2 linked regions of the Drosophila melanogaster genome follow. The protein of the gene in region 2 interacts with the protein of the main gene of each other region in a biochemical or structural test. Each region holds a gene or a part of one and is shown on either strand. Other genes may lie near its edges.

Region 1 (7,761 bases), on a different chromosome or scaffold from region 2:
GCTGCACGATTCCCATTCGCATTACCACTTTGGCTTCCATCGATATGTCCTTTGTGCGCCTTTTGTCGCCGAGTGTCCTTTTTACCCTAACTACGGGGCTGGGGTTATTTTGACAGCAGTTCATTTGCCTTCTGCCGCCGTTTTCACTGCTGTTTCACTTTTGGCAAAAACACACAAAAAAAATTTATGAAATTATGCCCAATCCAAATTTACAAAATTCAACAAAAATACTTCTATGTGATATAAAAACTTATGAGCTCCATATATATTTCTTTTTGAAACTGTAAGAATTGCTTCGATATAAATTAGGAATTTATTTCAGTGCAGCTACTCAGCAGTTCGATTGGGGTTTAAGTTTGGTTTTCCTCTTGAAGCCATGTTTTAGTTTGTTTTATCCTCAATGAGTCGACTTCTATGTGGCTTCCATCGCAACTATTACTTAGCGCTCCTTTGATGAATATTTTTATGTATATTTTTCTGCTTCACTAGAATGCTTGACTTATAGTTATTGGTCCCATGATCTGCATACCCCTAACGCAAATCAATCGGCCCATTGCGAGTCTGAAATCCAGCTGAGCTCGGCAGTTATACCCATGCGTAAACAAAAAAAAAGGCATTTCTGTTTCAGTTCCCATTCCCACGCAATTGAGTTTATTGTTTCGCCCGGAGAAAAGGGAAAGGGGGCGACTGGAGCGAGTAAGTAAACAAAAGCTCAGCGATCATCGACGCCTCAATGGAACTTTTTTTGCTACGAAATTAGTATTCAGTTACCATACGGACAACAACAAGTTAAACAAACCTGAAAAAAAACATGGACACAGGCCGGATGCGGCTAAAGCAAAAAAAGTCCAAGCCAAGAAGCCTCGACTGCAAGTGGGATCTCTGATCTTGGATCACCAATTGCCAATCATCATCGCTGGCCATATGCAAAATATGTTTATAAATAAACGACACTGAAAGAAGTGGATGTTTACCCAAGTTTCTGCTCAAGATTTAGTTTTAACCGAAATGGTGAAGTGGAGAGCCTTAAATTTGTGAATGAACTTTATAGTAGTTATAACATTTTGTATTACAGCACTTATCACATGGGCACCACAAGATACCATTATATTTCGCAATTGCCACGGGAAGTGTAGAAATTTTTATCGGTGCAGCGAAACGAAATCGGTTCCGAATTCCAAGGCGAAGTCATTAATGGGATGTCACTGGAGAGTGACAGGGCAGAGCACCCCTTTAATGGCAACTAGATGTCCTCAGCCCAGCTGAGATTGGAATGGAATCAGTTCGGCTGGGACTGGGATTTCAATGGGGATCGGATCGGATCGGATGGGATCGCATTGGAGATTGGGGCTCGAGGAGCGGGACTGAGTGACGGGTATTGGATTTCAACATGCAATGCACGCGGCGCGGCATGCGGCTGCATATCTGCAACGCCATCTCTGGGATACGTCGGGATCCCCTTATCCCCTTATCCCCGATTTCCTATCCCAATATATTATATATATATGAAATACAAAAAAAAAAAGGCACCGCAAGTGCCCGCCCGCTGATTGACATGTGATCCTCATCTTCATCGCATCCTCCACAAGTTTCTATGGCTTGCAAATAGCGGCCCTCTTGCCTTCAGATTTAAATACACTTTGAATATTAAGTTTATACTTGTGGTATATATTGAATTAAATCGAAGATTCTCAGGAAGTGCATCTTAGATATAGGTAAACCAACTGCAATGCAAACGAACTACAATTTACCATCAGATGTAGGGTATTTAAATTGCGTATTTATAGATTTTCTACATTTTTTTCCAGGTTTCTGCTGCTTTTAACCTGTTGTTGGTTCTTCGGCGGCGCTGCTGATTTGTCATTCAGGCGAAACACTCGCGAGTCGTAAAGTAAGCTCCGTTTCAGTTCCAGTCTCCTGAAATCTGGCGAAGAAGACGTGAAATCATCTCGAGACGTCGTTGTTGCAGCAGTCATAAAATTATGATCGGTATTTTTTAGCCTTCCGTTCCCCTGGGAAATTTGAACTGTGTCGCTGGTTTTTGCCAGCATTTTTTAGTTATTTCGAGTCTAGTTTTTCGACATGGAACATGGATTTCTGCTGTATTTCATGCAACACCTTGTTCCCCGATTTCCAGGAACATATGTATGTATGATCTCGGGACATTCCTGAACTGCGTTTCCACGGAAACTTGCAAATAGACCGTAGTAATTAAAGGCACGAAAGCCGAAGAGCAATAAACACAAGCTTTTCGAGCCCAGTCATGTCTCCCATTCAGCCATAGCGAACCAATTCAAAACCATTTCTAACGCAGACGATAACCAGAGAGAGACGTGTCGTTTTTCACAAACAACGACGCGCCCGCTCATTTTCAATGAAAATTTCCACAATTTCCTCAATGGATCGTCGTCGACCCATCATGTGTGTGAAATACAATCGTGGATTTCTTGCCCAGAAACCCTGCAACTTCTTCGGTGCAATGGAGTGGGAGAGAAGTCGAGGCGCCTCGAACTCTTATGTGTGTTCAAGATGTCGTGGACTCAAATTAAGATAAGATGCAGATAAGCCGTGCATTTCGATTTAGCCGTTTGAAAACTCGTTAATAAGAATTTGGTCAATCCACTGATAACGACTAGTTTTCCATTGAACGGAGGCGCATAACGCTTATCTTTGTTAGGAATAAATATGACAAATTGAACGACTACCGTTTAATCGTTTGTCTATATACGAAAACTTAACAGGATTGTTCGAGCTATCAGTTTATTTGAATAGTTATTGTTAATGAAAACTACTACTAACTAGCCCAATATAATATATTATGAATATTTACTCTTCTTATTTTCAAATGATTTAAAATTTTCACCATTCCACAGCGATTAAAATCTAATTTACCCATGCATATATTTAATATTCATTCTGTAATTAATCAAGCCCTTGTTGAACCACTCGCATTGTCTTTTTCGCCTTTTCGTGTTGATTGTGGAACCTCCTTATCCCACAAAACACTTTTCATTCATTTTCATGCTCATTCACAAAACATGAGAAAAAAAAAAGAAAAACAAACATTGCAGTCGTGAGAGGAAAATTATTGAGCGAGAGTTACTGTTCGTGTTTTCTCATTTTCAGCTGAGAAAAGCAGCCGACCAATCACAAAACCATTTCCCCTTTACAAAAAACCGATCATTTTGCATCTCGTGGAGAGTATTCAGATTTGTTTGGAGAGTTTCGGAGAGGAACTCGTTAAGCCGGGTCTACAAAGGTGAGTATCTGTGGACCGTGGTGGAGTCAGGGGAAATGTTAGTGCTTTAAAAAGTGTCTACTATGTGTGGAATTTGGATTGTATCTTGTGGATTGGATATTGTGGTAAGGTTGAGTTTCATTTGGTATCTCGGGTAGAAGTCAATGAGGTGGATGTTCGGGCACACAGGCTGTAGAACTTGTTGGATATTTTGTCAAGAACTGAAAGTATCCGAAAGGATTAATTCATAGCATATATACCTCAGTTGTATTTTGAATTATTTTAAATTAGTTTTCTCAGAATTCATGGGCTTCACACTACACATCTTCCCCTCTTAAGATCTCAGGCTTAAATTCGTACTCCATTCTCATTGTGGATTTGAAATGATGACTGTGAAGACCAAACACGAAGGGCTACCCCTTAATTCCACATTCTTGTCCACCAAAGCAGACCTCTCCGCAACTCACCTCTTAGGAACTCTCCTAAATTCCGGTTTCAAGTTGTGGTCCAAGTTCCACATGGACACCAATGAGACACATTCCCCAGTCTCCACTCTCCAACCAAGTACATATCTCTCTCCAGCCGAACGAACCCGAGAGCGAAGACTCCGCCTATCGGATTCGGAAATGCCCGTTCGGGGGGTATAAAAGCGGGCGCTCTGAGCGAGCACCACTCATTCGTTGTCTGACCGCTCGCAGCAAAAGATATAGAAATCGAGAACGTAAACGCAGAAAACACGCTGGATTAAAGTGTTTCGTTTCGAACATCGACAGAGTGAGAAAACAAAGTGAAGTGAGCGCACAAAGCCGAAATCAAATCAAATTGAAAAGCCAGTCAAGAGCAATCTTTAACTGAACCTCGCAAGTAATCCGGTACGACCGTGTAACAACCGCCAAGATTCTACTCAAGGAGCGTAAAGCAATCATCTCCAGAATGAAGTCCCTGACGGCCGTCTGCCAGACAGGTGCCTCCGGAATGCCGGCCTTGAATGCCAGCGGGCGCATCCAGCGCCATCCCACGCACCGCGGCGACGGGGAGAACGCCGAGATGAAGATGTATCTGTCCAAACTGAAGGACCTCGTTCCGTTCATGCCCAAGAACAGGAAGCTCACCAAGCTGGAGATCATCCAGCACGTCATCGACTACATCTGCGACCTGCAGACCGAGCTGGAGACGCACCCCGAGATGGGCAACTTCGATGCGGCAGCCGCTCTGACGGCGGTGAACGGACTCCACGAGGACGAGGACAGCGACATGGAGGATGCGGATGCCGAGGCAGAAGCGGAAGTCGATCCAGATATCCTCGCCCAGCGCCTGAATGCCGAGCAGCCGGCGAAAGTCTCTAGTCCCGCCGCCCGTCTCCCGCTTACCGATCGCCAAACGCCCAACACTCTTGTGGCGCCCGCCCATCCGCAGCAGCATCAGCAGCAGCAGCAACTGCAACTGCAGCAGCAACAACTGCAATCACAGCAGCAACTGTCCAACAGTTTAGCAACGGTGAGTTAACAAACAAATTGCTAGGGTAGTGAAAAACCCAAATAGGAAGTGGGCAGATGAGCACAGCTCAGGTCGAAATATTAGGAGAAATAATAAGGTTATGGAATATTTAAAGTAGTTATTTTTGAGAAAATAACATAGTTAAACATTTAAAGTACATGACTTCACTGGTTTCAACTAGACAATAAAGCGATTAATTGCTAAAGTTACGATAAGGAAGTGCGAATATCGCAAAGTTTGCGATCCACCGATTTTCGCTATTTCCTTGAGTGCCATTATTTTGACCGCAGCTGTTTGGCATTTGCATTGCAAATTTAGGAGACAATTGAGTGTCAAACTGTTTGGCTTTACTTGTTTTTGTTTCGCGAGTGACCTCATTCATAAGGCGATTGACGAATGTTTGCGTGAATGTTGTTTTTTTTCATTTTGTTTTATTTTTTTTTAACGGAAGGACGAGGCGCGTTTCGTTTCGTTGGCGAGTTTTGGGAAATTTCTTTATTGGGCGGGTGGCTTTAGACAACGCGGCCTGCCCGATTTTGTCGTACCCTCTTCTTCGCCGCACAGATTCATTTCGTTTTTATAGACATTTCACAGACCGTCTCTGTGCGATTGTATGCGTTGCGGTTGTTGTCGCCATCGTTTCTTTCTTTTGTGTGTTGCCTATACGTAGCTGTTAATTTTTTCTCGCGGCCTTTTTCTGTTGTTGTGATGTTTTAAATGAACACCTGCAGATACTTAAATTTATTTCACACACACTCGCACACACACATACTCACTCACTCACACGCACTTGCGAGCTTGAAAACGGAATTTGGAATTGGGGAATCATCAGTCTTCGTATTTTATTTCATTTGGGTTTATTTTTTGGCTCACTTCATTAGCTCTCAGCTTCGTTACTTCTTCGTTTTTGGACTTTCGGTTATTAATGATGCTGGCGAAAAAATTCGTTTGAGATCTACAATATGTTCGTAAAAACAGGTTCGAAAAAGCTTTTTTTTCAATGGGTTTCTCAAACAAATGATCGACTGGGTGGCCCGGCAAGTGTTATTAATTTTCGATCTCTGATTGTTGATTAATTGTGAAGGTGGAAACCCTTCTTCGAAATTCAGAAAGATGGTTTTGAAATCGTGCCTTCGTCATTCCTGGCTATGAGTTACTTCTTAAATTTTTGATTAATTAACTGTGGGTCTTTAGCTCAGTCCGCTTTGCGTAGGTCTCTTTTCTCTCATTTTGGGTGCGTAATTTTTGTGTTTTTGTTGCAAAACATCTGCAACCCACAAACATATATACTTTTTGTGTTTGTATGATGTGTCACCGCCGCAACAACAACAACAAGCCAACAACAATCCGAGAATTCTTTCGAAAACACGCACACACACACACACAGAAGAACACATGGGGGCACTCAGAAAACTGTAAAAAGAAATGCACGTGTTCAAAATGTTCTCTCTGTGGGTTGTTTTCAGTTGTTTTTGCTGTTTCTTTTTCGATTTTTTTTTCGCGCAGCTGTGCGCCAGTCGCCAGTCGGTCGCTTTCTACATTGTGTTCCCCCCACGGATCCTGCCCCCCCCCCTCCACAACCGCCCCCTCGCAGTAAGAGAGCAGAAGACGGAGGAGAAGAGAGCGCAAGACACTGGGGGAAAAACTGCGTGATTTCAACGTTTTGCTGATTTTCAACTGGGTATACTTGTGCAAGCAAGCTACCTGAGATGTTATTTTAAAACATGTTGTATCTTCTAATGCACATGTTCTTAGTGCAAAACATTTTTCCCAGTGCCAAAGAACTCAAATAAGTGCAAAACAAAAGCTCAATGACAGCGCGTTTGATTTTCTTGGCGCCTCTTTATTGCCCCATCCCCTCCACTCATCGAAATCAGCCTCTCGGCGAGTGTCCCAAACACAAACAAAACAAACAAATCAGTGGAACAGGGAACTAATTGATAACATAGAATGGCGAAATAATACAGCTTATAAACTAATTATTGCATTTCAATCGCACATTAATAATGTACTAATTTGAATCTTCCCGCTTCTCTCTTTTTAGCCACAGAATGCGGAGAAAGACAGCAGACAGTCGTAAGCGTGGAAACGCCCAGCCGGGAAAACCCACGGAACCTATAAGCCTATTAACTAAATGCATAATGAAAGTACAGTCAAAACTCCACTCGCAACCTTCGTGTGAAGATCTCCGCATAAGATAACGTGTGAAACTCTCAAGAAAACCACAGCCCAGGCGCATCTCTTCAACGCTCCTTTTCCCGGGAAACGGAAAACCCGGGAAAACGAGACCTCGCTTTTGGCTCCAACAGAGTTTAGTTTAAACATTTAATAACAAGAATACAACAACACAAAACCTAGCATTAGAGCAGCGTAAGCAAGTACACATTATGATTATTAATTAAACATTACAACTAGGATGATGGCGCTTAAGAATGAACGGAAGAAAGAAAACTTGGCAAAGCTTTAAACAATTTAATTTTCCTTTAACGCTTGAAATTACACTGAAGCATATATTTTTGTTTTCCTAATTTTAGTTTTGTTTTGGTTTAAACAACGCAAGAAAAAATGTTACTAATGCAAAGCAAACAGAGATCAGCAATAAAAAAAAATTATAAAAATGCACAGGCACCAAACTGGAATTACGTTGAATCACCGTTTCCTGCATTACGATTATATGATTTCAATCCAAATGATTTTCCTATTAATTTTAATCAATGAAGAGTTTTCCTATTATTGATTAGCCACAGCCAATAAACAACAAGAACAACCAACTCAGCAGCACACACACATTCAAATTCATTAATTTATATCGAGAGAGTACGTTTAGAGTTTAAGTTCGAGAAAGTTCATTTCCAGGCACTAATTTTCACTCACACCACTCACATAGAAAAACACAAACACCTCATTTTGTAGTTTTCCGAGTCCCTTGGATCGTTTTCCTCTTTTTTAATCGAAATAACGCATAATGCATAATAATTATTACCAGATATACACTAAAACCTATAAATATATATTAATATATGTTC
Region 2 (7,761 bases):
TAATATAAAAAATAAAATAAAAACCACACTCTTCATAAATACTATTTTGAAGGATGATATAGTTAATTATTGCTCTCATATTTGAAAGTAAAATTTAAAAAAGGTTCGGTAAAGCAATTTCCTTATTATAAGGTAACAGCTGAAAAACTAGGCTTCTCTATACAAACGTTTTAGCCAAGTCAAACTTTTCATACCCCAATTGTTGGTCCAAGCAGGGAAGCCAAATCAAAATGGCCCACGATCCCAACATCTTTGTTTGCATGACGAACTGGAGCTGAACCTTTGGGTTGAGCAAAGTTCAATGCGCCGTTGCCGCGGTATCTGTATCTTAGCATCTTTACCCATATCGGTCTTCTGTATCTTTGGTAGTGACTTTAACTTCGGCTCCCCTATTTTGTGGCGTTAAGGCACCGAAAATGCCAGTCGGTGCAGAAAAAAGCAACCCCTAACAAATGAGCGTGTGTTCATTTTATTTGTGCCCTGTGCTGCGCACGGTTATTTTTCAGCTGCACCAGAAAAAGAATGGTGGAAATCGATGTATAAAGTTGGTTGTCTAAGCCCGTATGCCCTGCTACGTTTGTTCTTCTATACTTTTCAGAGTTCTTTCCTCCGCGATCCAATTCGTTCGACTAAATACACCTGCCACGCGTCGCCATGGTCCAGATATCCAACGAGTCTTAAGGGCAAGGAGGGTGCGACTCCTGCGCATGCTCCTGCATTTAATTAAATTATTAACTACGAAAATGACTGAGCTAAATAAAGAGGGAGAGATACATCTACGCTTCATCAACAGTAAAACGCAAAAATTAAACCACGAGCGTCACTTAGATTTATATTAAAACTTTTGATAATAAAAATGGTCAAAAACATTTACTTAAAATATAAATATTTAAATAACAGAAATTTCACTATATACTCTTGTAATGCACTTATAATAATTTTATATACAACCTATTAAATAATATTTTTACGTGTAGAAATGAACGCGACAACAGAAATATCTATATGCAAGTATACATATACTTGTATCCCTCACTCTTTTTCACTTTTTCTTTTTTCGCCGATCTCCTGCTCTCTTCTGCAGGTCCTGGCTACGAAAACTCGTTTAAATTAAGATTCAACATTCATTTTTGCATTTCAAGTTTCGTTGGAAAAACGCACGCGTCGCTCCACCGATTAGGATATATATATATATATATATATATACCCATATATACCCATATAATGGGTAGGTTATATATCCTGCCTCGTTCCATCCTGCTCCTACCCAATTATCGCAAGGGCCCCGCTCTTCATCTCGCTTACACTTTTGAGTCCTTTCCATTTCCCGTTTTCGCGGTCCGGAACTATGCTTCATATCAAAGTAATTACGCATTTAAATCCTCCAAGCGTTGCGTCTGGAAAAAGGATATAAACAAGGTAGTCCGAAAAAAATGTTTACTGGTTGTCGGGACAACATCGAAAGGTTACTTAACTTGCTTTCTGATGGTTTTCCTGAAGAACAAGTCTTTCGAAATAATAAAAAAAACATTATTAAGTTTCCGAAAATATATAAAAGACTTCCACAAAGATAGAGTTAAATTAACAATATTATATACTAAAGGAAATGAAGCATTTATGAAATATAAAATTTAAATCATTCAAAATTAAAAGATTCCTACACTAGGTACTATAATTTTGAAGGTAATATCCAATGCTTGTTCAAGGTATGAGTGGCATTTACATGCAAGCGGTGACCGGAATTGGACCTATGATTAATCAATTGTACCGAACACGCGATTATACCAACCTTGCTTATGACTCTCCGCTTCAAGGAAAAAAGGATCGCGTATATGCATTATATGCATTCCACTTCAGTTAAATGTCCGCATACACCATAGATCACACAGTTCACTGAGTGGAGTTTCTAATGACGACTTCAACCCTATTCTAGGCATGTCACCGGCATTTCTCCCAACCATTTATTAAAATGCTTCAATGGAATTTTGGAAAATGCGAAAATTTAAATAGAACATTGTGCTGCCAAAATTTCTGCAACACTCAAGAACAATGATAGTGTTAATGATGGTAAAATAATGGAAACCAACTACCGATCCCTCCGTTACAATGCAAAAACTAAAGAGTGGAGACTCCAAGCGAAGTTCAGCATGCAAAAAAGGTATTGGAAATGGTGAAAGGATTTTATTTATAGGAACAACACAGAGAAGCGCCGTTTGCTGGTCATGGTTGAAAAGGTTTTTTTGTTATCAGGATTTCGGTTTTCGCTTTGGTTTTGGTTTCGGATTCGGTTTTTGATTTTGGGATCCGGGGATCTAAAATTTGCCAAATAGAAGTGAAGAAGTGCTATTGCTGATGATTTGGCAAAAGAAAAATGCTGGCAGAAGCAAACGAGGGTAACGAGTTGAGGACAATAAAAATATTACACCTGGTCGCCGATTTGGCATCTTTTCACTCGCTCATCGATTGATGATCGTGACAAAATGAACCGATTTTTGTGAACAGAGCGGAAGTTACAATTTACAGTCGCCGTTTAGCACGACACAGTGGCCAATGGCAAGTTACAACAGTCTGAAATAATCAATTTATTATTTCAAAGAAGATGTATGAAACTTCATGTATGTCTAGTATTTCTTTACCTTAGACCGCATTATGTAATAGAACAAATAACAAGTATACACCGTTAAAAGTCAAATGTGTGAACATTTAATCAAACCCAGAACTAAATTATTCCCAAACAAATTAATATATTTAAAGCAACATCCCAGTAGTTCTAGAAAAAACACAAGTAGCCACAAACAAAGAACCGCAGTTTTCACTGCAAACTTCCTTCTAGAACTTGTGTCACATCCCTTTGATTTACTTAACAAAAAATTGTGATCCTTTTGATAATTTAATTGGAGAAATAAGTGAAATTGTTTGAACACCTTTAGGGAGCGTACTCCGAATGTCTAATAAGGAGGATCCCAGGATCTTCTGTCGATCCCTTGGATCCGTCCGGCGCTAATGAATAGAAGCGTGCGTGAGCTGCACATAAAATTGGCGATCGCGACTTTTGCTAAGTTAATTAACACAGAAATCAAATTGCTGGCGTGCCGTAGCAAAAAGAGCCCTCACTCAGATACCTTGATCGTTTTTCGATATTTCGAGTTGATATTTTGAGTTTAAAATTTGAGTGTTTCTTTTGGACTGTCGAGTGAGAACAGTTTTCCTGTGGGATACTCGAGTACCTGAGACAGAGAAAGAGAGAGAGACTACCTGTGGCTCACTCACTTCGAGTTCCCTACCTGTGCAGGTAGCTCTTGCCGTCACTCTCTCTCTCTCTTTCTCTCCGATTCTCTCGCCCGTTTCTCTGCCTGAGTGTTGTGCAGAGAGTTGCATAAAGGGTACATAACGCGAGGGTTTAGGACGAAGGGACTCATTCTTGTGTAAGGTGTCAAACGATCAAGTTCAAGTATTGTACTCTGTTCATTTATTTTTTTCTGTTGATCGTTATCCGGAAAGTTAAAGAAAGCTCCGAGTGTGTTAATGAAAAATAATAATAATACAACGAAAAGCACTACCATGTCATCGAGTGTGCTGTCCACCAACGAAACGTTTCCAACGACCATCAATTCGGCAACGAAGATCTTTCGTTATCAGCACATAATGCCAGCCCCTAGTCCATTAATTCCCGGTGGCAATCAAAATCAACCCGCTGGCACAATGCCAATTAAGACTCGCAAGTATACACCAAGGGGTATGGCACTGACCAGATGCTCTGAATCAGTATCATCTCTATCGCCTGGTTCCTCGCCGGCTCCATATAATGTAGACCAATCCCAGTCGGTCCAAAGGCGCAATGCTAGAGAACGAAATCGTGTAAAGCAGGTGAACAACAGCTTCGCCAGGTTGCGGCAACATATACCACAATCCATAATCACGGATTTGACAAAGGGTGGTGGTCGAGGACCTCACAAAAAGATCTCCAAAGTAGACACACTGCGCATTGCCGTCGAGTACATCCGGAGGCTTCAGGATCTGGTGGATGACCTAAATGGGGGCAGCAATATTGGTGCCAACAATGCAGTCACCCAGCTTCAACTTTGTTTGGATGAGTCCAGCAGTCACAGTTCGAGCAGCAGTACTTGCAGTTCCTCAGGGCATAATACCTACTATCAAAACACGATCTCTGTCAGTCCTCTGCAACAACAGCAGCAGCTACAGAGGCAGCAGTTCAATCACCAACCGCTGACAGCGCTCTCATTAAATACCAACTTGGTGGGCACATCCGTACCAGGTGGAGATGCAGGATGCGTATCCACCAGCAAAAACCAGCAAACCTGCCACTCGCCAACATCATCATTCAACTCCAGCATGTCCTTTGATTCAGGCACCTACGAAGGAGTTCCCCAACAAATATCCACCCACCTGGATCGTCTGGATCATCTGGACAACGAATTACACACGCACTCCCAACTTCAGCTAAAATTTGAACCGTACGAACATTTTCAATTAGACGAGGAGGACTGCACCCCCGACGACGAGGAGATTTTGGACTACATCTCTCTATGGCAGGAGCAGTGACTTAATCCCCAAAATTTACCACCACGCCCTATTTTCTTCTAGTCAATGTTGAGTTGAACCAAGTGCCTCAAATTGTAAATAACACTAATACAAAAACAACATACCCCCAATTTTTTTTTCTTACTTTAAGCTATTTTTTTACATTGTTAAGAACCACGAGACCAGTTTCAAATTTATATATTTATGAAATAACTATAGCATGGAAACGAAAACATATTTTTTTGCTAATACAATTTTATGTTAATTAGTTTTTGGTGGAAAAATAAAATGAAAAAATTAAACGAAAAATCATATTTAAGTTCTTTTCTCAAAGGGGATCCATCTATTGATCAGGTTTGTAAAACATTCGGGTACTACTTGCATTGCCTTGCAGTGCCGATGGGACCATGTGCAGCCGTTATGTACAATTAAGGTTGCTTTGCATTGGTTTTACAAAATCACTCTTATATCCAAAAATCATTAATACGAATTACAGATAACGCAAAACATAGATCAGTATTTGGTTTTAGACCAGTAGTTTCCTATTTCTTCAGGTAGTTTCTAAGAATGTCAAATTATCGCAGGTAAGACGATGACACCTGTGACACGTGCCACGAGGTTACTAGTTTAAAAGGTTACTAGTTTTACAATTACGACTTTGAAATTCAGATCAGATATTGAACTTAAAAAAGGAAAAGTGTCGAAAAAGCAATTTACAATTTATTCAATATAAGAGGAGTTCGTATTTATGTATACATTACTACTTAAATATATAAAGTGAGGTAGTTTTAACCCGATCAACACTTTTAAGACTTTTTCTTTTGAATTTGCTCAGCTTAACTATAGTTCCTAGTATTCCCTATAATGTACGGCCTTACAAAAAAGTATTTTACCCACTTTTTACACTTCTGAAAAAGTTAAATGCAAACACCTTACCCCAAACAATAACTAAGTTCTTCACTCCCACGCACCGTTGAGATGTCAGTCCGTTGGAATAAACCTCTTCCACTGGCCAGACAATAAATCACGTTGCATTAGAAAAACAAACGCATGGGAGAATGCGACTATAGACTATATTTTGACACATTAAAGGGCATCACAGACAAAGGACCTCATTGTCCTTAGGATCGCTGGATGCTCCAAAGGAAGTGATAAGGGATAGGGGATCTTTTCTTTCAATGTCAACGCTGACACTTGACAACTCAATGCAATTGTTTCGAATCATGAAAATGGGTTCTGGAATACCATTATTTTCTTTTGCGAGACTCTGTAGGCAAGGCTTAACGTTCAGCTCCGGAAGAACTTTCACCTTTCCTAAAGAATCTAAAGAAAGGCAACCTTTTTTTCAGCTGCGTTTTTTATTTTATTTGGTTCTGATTTAAAAGCGTAGTTTAATAGATTTCTCGGCGCCCAGGCCAGCAACATTGTGGTACAAAAAACCAGCCGCCTGCATTAATCAGACCCCAGATATTTGACCAAATTATAGGCTCGCCCAAAGTTTCGAGGACTAAGGACGGCAGATTGATGGCTAAAAAAGCAGTTTTAAGTCGCAGCTAAGCTCATAATTCAGCTCTTTACGAAGTTGTTACTTGAAGCATTTATTCTTACACCGCAGGCGCGATGCAAACGGCCTGATAGCCAACAGAAAAAACGAAGAATGGCAAACAAGAAAACTCCAAAATAAAAAATACAAAGATGGATTTTGGAATATAGAATATACTCTTATACTCTTTTCAAACATAGGTTTATTCGGTTAATATCCTGTAACTTATCTGAAGCATTAATCTAATCAATGCAAATGCTATATGTGGTCTAATGCATAAGTTTTATTTTTATTAAAACTCAATTATTTTGTACAATCAAATTGATACTTAAGTCCTTCATTTAGCATTGGCGATTGGCTTACATTATCCAAAAAGTAAGAGTATCAAACAGAGCAGAACAAGGCAATCAAAACAGCACAACTTTGCAACGTCGTTCAGCGTTACCGATTTATTTGAATTTCAATAAGCCCCAACGTTTTTGGAGTTCATTATCCTGTTATGTCGGCATTTTTGGCCTTTCATCTCGCGCATGCAACGAATTTGAACTGGGGCGTTATTGATTAGCGTTATGAATTATTGATAAACAACCCTCAGGGGAAAATCGCCCACACCGCAGGTAAAAAAAACACTATGCACATAAAACAATAAATTGAAATACAGAGTATATATAAAAATATTCATACTTAGCACATTTTTATATATTTTACTGTTGGCCCCATATAACCTAAAATTATCCGCCCAGATATGCTTGGGCTGATATCTTTATTTTTCGGAGAGGATGCATAAATCGCAAGCAAACGTGCCACGTTCATCATCTGGGGAGCCAAAAGGGGAGAAATATGTTCCAATTAGCGAAGCCAAATGTGACAGGCCATCCACCCAGAAGAAATCAAGGCAGCGACTCAGTTTCACAGGACTCGCGGCTCGGACAGGCAAAAGTTATTTGAGTTGTCATATTAGGCCGTGATAAATGTAGTTACATACCAAATGTGATAACTCTGCCCCTGGCTTTGGATTCCCCGGACCCTGGATTAGGTAGGCGCCTAGTTTCCCTTTCCCTTGATGATGATCCGCAAACTGTCAGAGGTTGTTCGTCTACAGCCTGATCATTGAAAACGTATTTATGGTACCAGGGAAATTCCTTCAGCCTTTTTGCGCCAGTTTAAAGAGCCGTGGCCCTGACTTTTTTCTTTGCTGACCTGGTATCCCGAAGAACCTAAAATTTCACCTGCCGGGTCAATAGGGGATTACCTGATCGTAAAAGAGGTACAATAAGCGCGCGCGTGCCTGGACAATTGGTAAATCGAGTCCAATTACTTATCACCCTACCCAATTTCTGTACCTTTAAGATTTTGCAGGTTTATTTGAAAAAATTCCAGAATTAATATAATAATTTTTACAACATTTGTTTGACCTGTTTCTTTTTCCTGAAGGCACTTAAAATTAAATATATCTTTTTATTGAATTTTAACAGTTTATTTGCTTTAAATAATGAAATTATTTACTTTTCTTACTTATTATTCTGTAACACTTCTCGGTTTACATGCCGAACAAAACCTATTTCCGCTTACAGAAGTACCTTCTATTTGCGATAGTCCGGTAATAAGTGTAACCACCTTCTGAGCAATTCGTCCCTTCAACACCTCTCTACAAGTATTTTATTATTTATGCTGCG

Evidence for each region. The genes of interacting proteins can lie anywhere in the genome.
Region 1: the proteins of sc (region 2) and emc form a complex in vitro, tested with the Drosophila melanogaster proteins (one study listed by BioGRID).

What each region holds. Positions count from the first base shown.
Region 1 is NT_037436.4:745,493-753,253, forward strand, and holds the start of emc (extra macrochaetae), read left to right. Parts: upstream 1-3,907; 5' UTR 3,908-4,171; coding exon 4,172-4,735; intron 4,736-6,779; coding exon 6,780-6,815; 3' UTR 6,816-7,761. UniProt on the Drosophila melanogaster protein: Participates in sensory organ patterning by antagonizing the neurogenic activity of the Achaete-scute complex (AS-C). It lacks a basic DNA-binding domain but is able to form heterodimers with other HLH proteins, thereby inhibiting DNA binding.
Region 2 is NC_004354.4:392,652-400,412, forward strand, and holds sc (scute), read left to right. Parts: upstream 1-3,408; 5' UTR 3,409-3,525; coding exon 3,526-4,563; 3' UTR 4,564-4,846; downstream 4,847-7,761. UniProt on the Drosophila melanogaster protein: AS-C proteins are involved in the determination of the neuronal precursors in the peripheral nervous system and the central nervous system. Also involved in sex determination and dosage compensation.